Linked DNA regions of Zea mays. The protein of the gene in region 2 interacts with the protein of the main gene of each other region in a pairwise test. Links are inferred from orthologs where the notes say so. Each region holds a gene or a part of one and is shown on either strand. Other genes may lie near its edges.

Region 1 (4,293 bases), on a different chromosome or scaffold from region 2:
AAAAAAGTATATGCTAATAACTACTGCAAAGACCACGGATATGTCTCAGTCAGCATCTTGCTACGTGAAGGACAGTGATTAGCATGCCGGACGGGGAACAAAAGCAACCACGTCAGTGGTGGTTAGCCAGCAAAGCTTGCTAGCTAGCTAGTCGCTGCAGCGCTGCTGCAGAGTGCAGAGGCCGCCAATGCACGCTCGAGAAACAGCTCAAAGGCTGAGTGAGCTGTGAGCTCACCAGCAGTGGACGTACACAACACTGTTCTGACCCTGACATGTGTTTGAAATAATAAACGGTGGGATAGAGACGTGCAGTTGTTAGGCCACAATTTACTCAGGTGACAGGATGATCTGCAGCTGGCTCCAGGCAACATTTACACTGCCGTGCATGACCTACTCCAGTATGAGCAGAAGAAAAGGAGTTAATTCCTCCAGTTCCTTACTTGACCAGTTAATACTACGACAGAGCAGTGAGTAACCACCCGAGTTTAACCCACACAGTAGATTTCACTGTAAAAAATGTACTAGCCTCTGTATTGTCCATCAACCTTCAGTCCAAGGTCAATCCGGACCAAGCGGCATGGATTCATGGCGACGCCGCTATCAATCAGCATCCACCCACACCCCCACACATACACATGGAGACAAAGGTGTGGGCACTACGAGCGAGCACGCGCGCGCTGGTTTCTCGCGCGCTTGTCTTGTTGCTGGAGCCAGCCAGGTCGCCGTCGGCCATTAACGTGGCGCATGAACCAGGACGAAGCTAAAATCTGCCAGGTTTAAATGCCCGACCTAATACTCCTCTCTACCCCAGCGAAAAGCTAGAAACCAAGGCGAGGGAATGTGAGGCAAAACTCTGAGTCAATGCGACCTTGATGACGCGCGGGACCAAGCCCTAATAATCCGCGCTCCGGCGCCTTGCTAACGCCGGGTTAGAGACGGCGGTGCTACTCCCCCATGCGTCCCGTCGCCGAGGTTGTGGATGGTTGAAAAAAAGAGCGGCGGGGAAGGTGAGTGATTTGGCTCCTGTACTGTACTGTATGTAAAAAAAAGGAGGGCGGTGCTGTGAAGGAGACAAGACCAGATTTTGACAGAGAAAGAGAGAGAGAGGGGGGGGGGGGGGGGGGGGGGGGGTAGTGATGCCCTACACACAATCATGAGATGGCCAAGTGGTGTTGTTGAGGATTGGTTGGTTCTACGAAATCTACGTCTAATCAAAGCATGGTGAAACCATGATGAGGAAACATAGCCCCAACAATGCGGACAGCAACGTGTCGACGCCAGATCAGTGTGGTGGTACCCTACGACATATATGTAGTACAAGGGTAGGATGGGACTTGTTGGATCTGCGTAGGGCTTGCTTGGAGTGGACTGCTGGATGTGAACTTTACAGTATCATATAGGAATAGGAGTAGCGATTCTCTTCTCTTTTTCCCCCCCCCCAAAGGTTTCTTCATCATTTTCGCATGCTGCAGATCCTTGCTCGATCTTAATTGGTTAATACTCCAAAGGGCATCCAGGGGAGATGAGATCAAGCTGGACAATGGTGGGTGAAGAAAACATGGCGTTGACGACCGGGAAGATTTCTGAAGAACCATGGCACCAAACTAACTAGTAACTATTCTGACAGACCAAAACGAGTTCAGGACCGCCGCCGCACACCTGAAGCCGAACGAGAAGAATTCACGTACGAGGCAGACGACCGACGGTTCTCGCCGACGAACAGGAGGAAATAAATAGGGGGGCCGCAGGACATGAACTAAATAGCCAAATTTTTGGGAACGAAATCGACGACACAATCTCCTGCTGCTCGCCTTTCAAAAAAAGAAATTCTCCTGCTCACGCGCACATACCACGAAATAAAGAACGAGAGAGAAAAATAGAAGAAAAAAAACCGGGGACACATCACATTCAGCGGCTGCACCCGCGCGCTTCCTCTGGTAAAATAAAAGACCCGGAAACTGAGGAACAATCCTTGTCACAAATCAACATCTCTACCACAGTACTGCTACTGCTACTATGTAGGAGGTGCCGTAAAAAACAACCCGAATGCAAGAAGACATGCTAAACCAGATCAGACTGCCACTACTGCTACTCCTCCCCAATAATCCACACAACCAGAGACGAACGAACGAGTGAACTAATACGTGCGCGTTGATAGTAAAGCTAGGAAACGAAGAACTTACAGAGGCACGGCCTACACCATCCTGGCAGAGACCTTGGCGTCCCTCGGCTGAGAGGCAAGGCAGCAGGAGCGGGAGAGGGGAGGGGGGAGGAAGGACGGACGGAAGGAGCGGGAGCACAAATAATTGTGTGAGGTTGAAGACGACGAGCGAGCGAGGGGACCTGGCGAGCAGTAGCAGTAGGAGGAGAAGGGAGGGAGGGAGGGAGGGATAGGGAGGTGTGAGCTGAAAGATTCCTTTCCACGGCCTCTCTCACAGCCCGTGAGCGAGCGAGCGAGCTTGTGTGTATGTGTTTGTATGTATAGGAGGAGAGAGCACCAGCGGCGGAGGGAGGGAGGTGTGGGGGACAAGGCGCAGCGAGAAATTAGGGCACGCGGAAAGGAAAAGACGGGGGCGCGGGCGGGAGGAAAAGGGATGCCCGGAAAGGGGGCGCGCGTGTATATATAGACAGGGACACAGGGTCAGGGTCTCAGCGAGCCGGAGCGGTAGAGAGCGCGAGTGAGAGCGAGCTACTCGAAGCTGTAGAGCTACTAGGATGGAGTGGAGCAGGGGGGCGCAGCGCAGGTGAAGCACGGGCAACAGCGGCACGCAGCATGGCAATGGCAATGGCAATGGCATGAGCACAGGCACCCCCACACGAGACGAGAGACGGGACACGGCCACGCCTACACATGCAGCTCCAGCTGCAGCATGCACATGGAGGTGGAGGAGCGTGCTGGCTGGCGCAGTGGCAGCAGTATACAGTACGTGGTTGTGGGGGTGGGCCGGGGGTGCTTTCTCTGCTGCGAGCTGACTTCGCAGTACTGGCTTGCCCGGCCCTGGCCCTGGGCTGAGCACGCAGAGGCAGCGGGGGATGGAAGGAGAGAGAAGTTAAAGAAAAGAGAGAGAGAAGAGAAGAGAAGAGGCGAGACTGTTGGAGAGTTGATTGATGGGACGAGCGAGCGACATGGACGGACATGGCTCCGGCCTCTCTGGCGTGCGCGCGTGGGTGGGTGGATACGCGCCCCGAATCAAATTTTACGCAAAAAAATCAGATTCAAAGAAATAAACTCATTCCAGTCCTATACAATCTATCCGTTTGGGTTGAATTTGCAGCTTCTACTACTCCTTCAATGTTAATAGCTGGCTTTAATCGCTCCTTCAATATTAGTAGTAGTAGAGTGACGATCGATGGGATGGGGTGGGAAATGAAATGGCAGCATCTCTGGGGGGCTGGCCGGCGCGCGGGCGGGCGGTGGGAAAAGGCGCCGTACGTCGTCGGCGTCGCGTCTTGTCGTGGCAGCGAGCACAGCGCGCGTGGAAAGCGACGAAAAAGATGGGGAGCGAGCGTGGAGGAGGGCTTCCACGAGTCAAATCACGGCAGCATGGCCCCCGCGCCGCGCGGATTAGAGATCGCTTTTTTTTCCTTCTTCTTTTTTACTACTACTGCTCCTACTCAACAGGCACGCCTGAGTGAGTGCCCATGACGAGTAGCTAGCCTGTTCTGTGGCCAACAGTTACACAGGTCAAACTAGTATAATAACTGTGTGTGGTTATATCAGCTACTATTAGCATAATAATTAGATAAAAATAAATAACATATAGTATTGTTATTGATCTTAATATCTTACGATTTTTTTGTCAGCAATCAATACATTTTTACTTCTAAATTTTATATCAGCTATTCAGACTCTCCATCTCACTATTTATTTAATGTTGGGTGATTTTTCTTATCGGACTCTTCACACTACTTTGGGTACATGACATTCTTCAACATCATGGATGTAAGTCGTCCATATTGACACAACTGATTGACAAGAACAAGTTTTTGGCAGGACCAGGTTTTGGGCAAACATAAGGAAGTATTAAAAAGACCAAAGCGCTTAGGAACTTACTAATGTTTCTCTTCATCAGCCGAGTTTCTGGCCTTGGTGGCTAAGTACAACCGAGCAACCAATCCTCTATTAACGGATCTCTCATTGTCTATAGCCTTCTCAGACACAGACAAGAATTGCTTTTGAGCTCAGTGATCTTTGCTTATTCGACCAGGGCTGAGTCCTAGGTTTGGGCAAGAGAATCTAGCCTCTCGGTCAAGTCTTTGACTACCTCAAGTTTCTTACCTTGGGTCTTGAAA
Region 2 (3,953 bases):
TCCTCACAGTGATAAAATGGAAAAGTTGATGTAGTTGTTAAACATCCAATTGCTAAATAATATTAGACACTGAGATGTATGTGGACAAGCAAATTGATGATGTCCCTTCCTCCATCACATCTCAACAACCATATGTATATGCAATCCAAAGAGACTGAAGACCCTTATAAAAGGATATTTTGCAATTAGTCATGGAATACACATCTACCATGCATGTCACATTAAGATTTCCAAGTTTAAAAGTACCTCTGCCTCAGGGAGGGTAGTCAAACCACGATCATTTCTCTCATCTAACAGGCCACCTCCCATCATATTCCGAGCTTCTTCTCTTACTATAACTAATCTTGCAAGAAGTTTTCGATCAGGAATGGTGTCCCTAGATTCCATTGACTATAACAACAACCAAGACGTTAGAAGATTCATAAAAATTATTCAAGATGAAAACAACAATAATTAACTACTACAAGCAGTTCTTTTCCAAAAGTTATCAGCCTACTATTATCATCTCCAAGAAGCAAAGTGATATGGAATGTCACCAGTAGCATTTTGTCTCGTCCATTTGGGAGTTTCAAACATACTTTAGGCTTTGCAATTCTAACTAGACACACCACCATTCTAGGTCTGATGATCTATTTTAAGCAGTGTGAGATAAAATAATAAAATAGTGAGGCAGCCCTAGCATTCTATGTTTGTAATTTGAGGTTGTTTAGAACACAAAAGTAACAGTCCAAATGTTTCCTATGACTAGAGGACACTTTTAGTGTTTGGTCCATCCCTCTATAAATAAACGGCGTGCGTGCGTGGGTGCGTGTGCGTGTGTGTTGAGTGTCCGAGTGACCAAGTCTACATTGTAATTAGGTTTTACTCTCCTAGCAACTTATCATTAAACGTGCTTACAAAAAAGAAAATGTTCCATTGCAAAGAATCAGGTTATGAAGATTGTGTTATTCCATGGAAGGCCATCAGTAAAGGATATGTGTACTCATGCTTTTCAACTTACCTCTACTAGATCATCTGCCTGATTTGCAATGTCATTAAGATTTGCCCCAGGAATTTGGCACTTAAGACCTTTATCGTTCTTAAAAACACCTCCACCAGCAGCTACGCGGCGCAACAATTCATGTCTGCTCTCTTTCTTTTCAGTCTGGCAAAGTAGCCCAACAACCTGGACCTGATTTGTAAAATACAACAATACCAGTCAGAAGACACAAACATGCCCACATCCATACACACATATATGCACAGATAACACTGGACACTTGAAATAACACTTACATGTGGAGGACATTTCTTCGTCAGATGGTCTAGCACTGTCTGCTTAATTACCTCAAGAATAGACTTACGCTGCCATCATAAGACAAGCATGTAAAACATGTAGAATAAACTAAGGGGAAATATGCATATAGCAGGATTTAGTAAGCACTCCAGTCTGTCAACAATGTCTCAAAGCATACATGGATTTTACAGTTATCACATCAACACAGCAATCTCACAGGTCCTTTTAATTTATGCATCTTCTCTAAGTAACTAGCACTAGCTTTAACATGAATAAATATAAACAAGTTTGGATACACTAGTAATAATATTTAATTTCTCTGTTAAAGTTGAAGAAACATCGATATGCTTTATTGGTATAAAAATAGTTACAATGTGGCAAAAGAAAAATACATAGCTCAATTATGCTTTTTAGTAAAGATAGGCAAATGAGTGGTAACGCCTAGTGAAGAATAAATAAGCTGTTATGCAAACAGGTACTTGGTGGAGTTAGGCAATGACTACCAAGTACCTCATCATCTGTGTCCTTCTGTGCAAGTTGTATCATGTAATCAAGTGCCATAAGAAAACCTGACTCCATCTCATCCACCCTCTTCCCAATAACTCCTTGTGCCACCAGCTCCACAGCAACCTGCTCAAATGCACCATCCATCTCCATGTCCTCCATCTACAAACACCAATAGAAAATCACATACAAGAACAATATCAGTAATACAATTATAAGGTAGAGGCATTTAGTCAGACCACATGAATAACGGTTATATTCTGCACAACTACATGAGATTAACAGTTTACCACATTCAGCATTCAAGACTCCCAAATGGTAGTTTTTGAACCATTTTAGTGCGAATTATAATATAGAACAAACTAATAAGCCGTAGAGGAAAGAAAATGGAGGATAAATTGACGATGGGCTAAGCCGTAGCCATGGGCTAAGCGTTCACAACTCTTTGCCAATTAGTCCAAGAGGGCCAAACTCCACTAGCATACTACCTGGCAACGAAAGAAACTAGTGGAACAGTTCATTGCGGAACAGCTTAACCTTTTTTATAATATAAATAACGACCTAATAAGTTTGAAAATCCGAAAAACTGCGCAATTTTATGAAGCACTGTGTTCATTTCAAAAATTCATACTAGTAATCTCCGTCAGTGATTCAGTGAAGCAACCCAAGAAACGGTGGAAGGGCATCCTGACCAGCGTGACCATCTCCTGCAGCACGGAGGCGACCTGCTCCCCGCCGCGGAGGAGAGCGTCGCACTCGGCGGGGTCCCACTTGCTAGGGTCGTCCCCGAGGGAGGCCGGCGAGGCGATGGGGAGGGGCACTTTGGGCACCGCTGCGTGGCATGCGAGGGTGCAGCGGGAGGGGACCCGTGGGATGAGTTGGGACGAGGACCTCCATGGGAAGGAGACGACGGCGCAGGCAGGCGACTGGGCAAGGGAGAGAAACATTCTCCTCTTGGAAACGAAGCGATGGGAAGCAAAGTCAGAGGTTCTGGGAGGGGTTGCTGCAGATCTATCCATTCCATTCTTGGCGGTTTGAGGCTAAGAGGCTTCTTGTGCAGTTTTTAAACGAAAAAACAATGCATATAGGATACAAATATTTCGTTGTAGTTCCTTATATTTATAAGCTGCAGATCCATATCCATGTGTGCCTACAGCACATAAATTTAAGGGGCTACAACGAATAAGTTTGCATAGCATATGGTTTTTTACGTAAAAACTAACATTTAATTTTAAAAAAAACAAAAGCCAACTAAAGGTATTGGTTTTTATCAAAATACACAGCTAAAGCAGTTTTTACCTACTACAAAGTTGGTAGCAATTTTACTACTATTTCTACCTGATTTTGATTTTTAATTATTAATGAAAATTACTCACCTATCACTTATTTTTATTCTTTTTCCATTGATTTTTAATTATTAATGAAAATTACTCACCTTTATATGTTGACCATTCGCTCCCCAGCTCCGTAAGGCTATTCACAATGGAGGTTTCATGGGGTGTTTCATGTATTAATTAGCCTGTCACATCAGCTATTTTGATGACATGTCACATCATTTAAGAAGGAAGAGTTTCATGGAGTTTCATGGGGATGAAACCATGTTAACTCGTTTCCAAGATCTTGGAAACTGTGTGAAACCTCCATTGAGAGTGTTTTGTTTCATCTTCATATAATTGAGTAAATCCTATTGGTTATTTATATGCAGCATTTAAGAAGTATGTTGACATATGAAATAGTGAGATGAAACTCTCTATTGAGAGAGGGTATTTCATTCATCCATAAATCTGAAGTGGCATTTTTGGAAACAGAGACATGAAATCCCCATTGTGAGTAGCCTAACAACGTGGACAGCCCCAATGGTGGCACGTCCGCCCTAGCACTACCTGCTTCGTTGGCAGAATGGACAATTCTGGCACGACGCAACGTTGTCTATCCAGAGACTATAGGTAGGAAGGAGGATATGAAAATATTGAGCAAAAGATAAGGTACAGAGAGCACAAAAAACACAACTATCTAAGGTTTTACCTAGTAAACATATGGCATTGTGGACATAAGTCACACAATACACCTACAATCATTACAAAGAAGCAAATCAAACACGTGCACAAGGACAACTAATAGGAACTCAAAACATCAACACGATAACTGGATGCTACTTGATCAACCAAAAGGG

Evidence for each region. The genes of interacting proteins can lie anywhere in the genome.
Region 1: the proteins of Protein PEP-RELATED DEVELOPMENT ARRESTED 1 homolog, chloroplastic (region 2) and protein rough sheath 2 interact in binary tests that used the Arabidopsis thaliana proteins (3 or more experiments, as listed by UniProt). The link is inferred for Zea mays from reciprocal best matches to the Arabidopsis thaliana genes AT5G48470 and AS1.

What each region holds. Positions count from the first base shown.
Region 1 is NC_050096.1:158,673,988-158,678,280, forward strand, and holds the start of protein rough sheath 2, read right to left. Parts: upstream 2,813-4,293; 5' UTR 2,184-2,812; intron 1-2,183.
Region 2 is NC_050099.1:18,446,102-18,450,054, forward strand, and holds the start of Protein PEP-RELATED DEVELOPMENT ARRESTED 1 homolog, chloroplastic, read right to left. Parts: upstream 2,803-3,953; 5' UTR 2,800-2,802; coding exon 2,473-2,799; intron 1,943-2,472; coding exon 1,787-1,942; intron 1,345-1,786; coding exon 1,276-1,344; intron 1,172-1,275; coding exon 1,001-1,171; intron 391-1,000; coding exon 247-390; intron 1-246. UniProt on the Arabidopsis thaliana protein: Plays an essential role in early steps of chloroplast development. May be involved in the redox control of plastid gene expression by maintening the redox state around chloroplast nucleoids.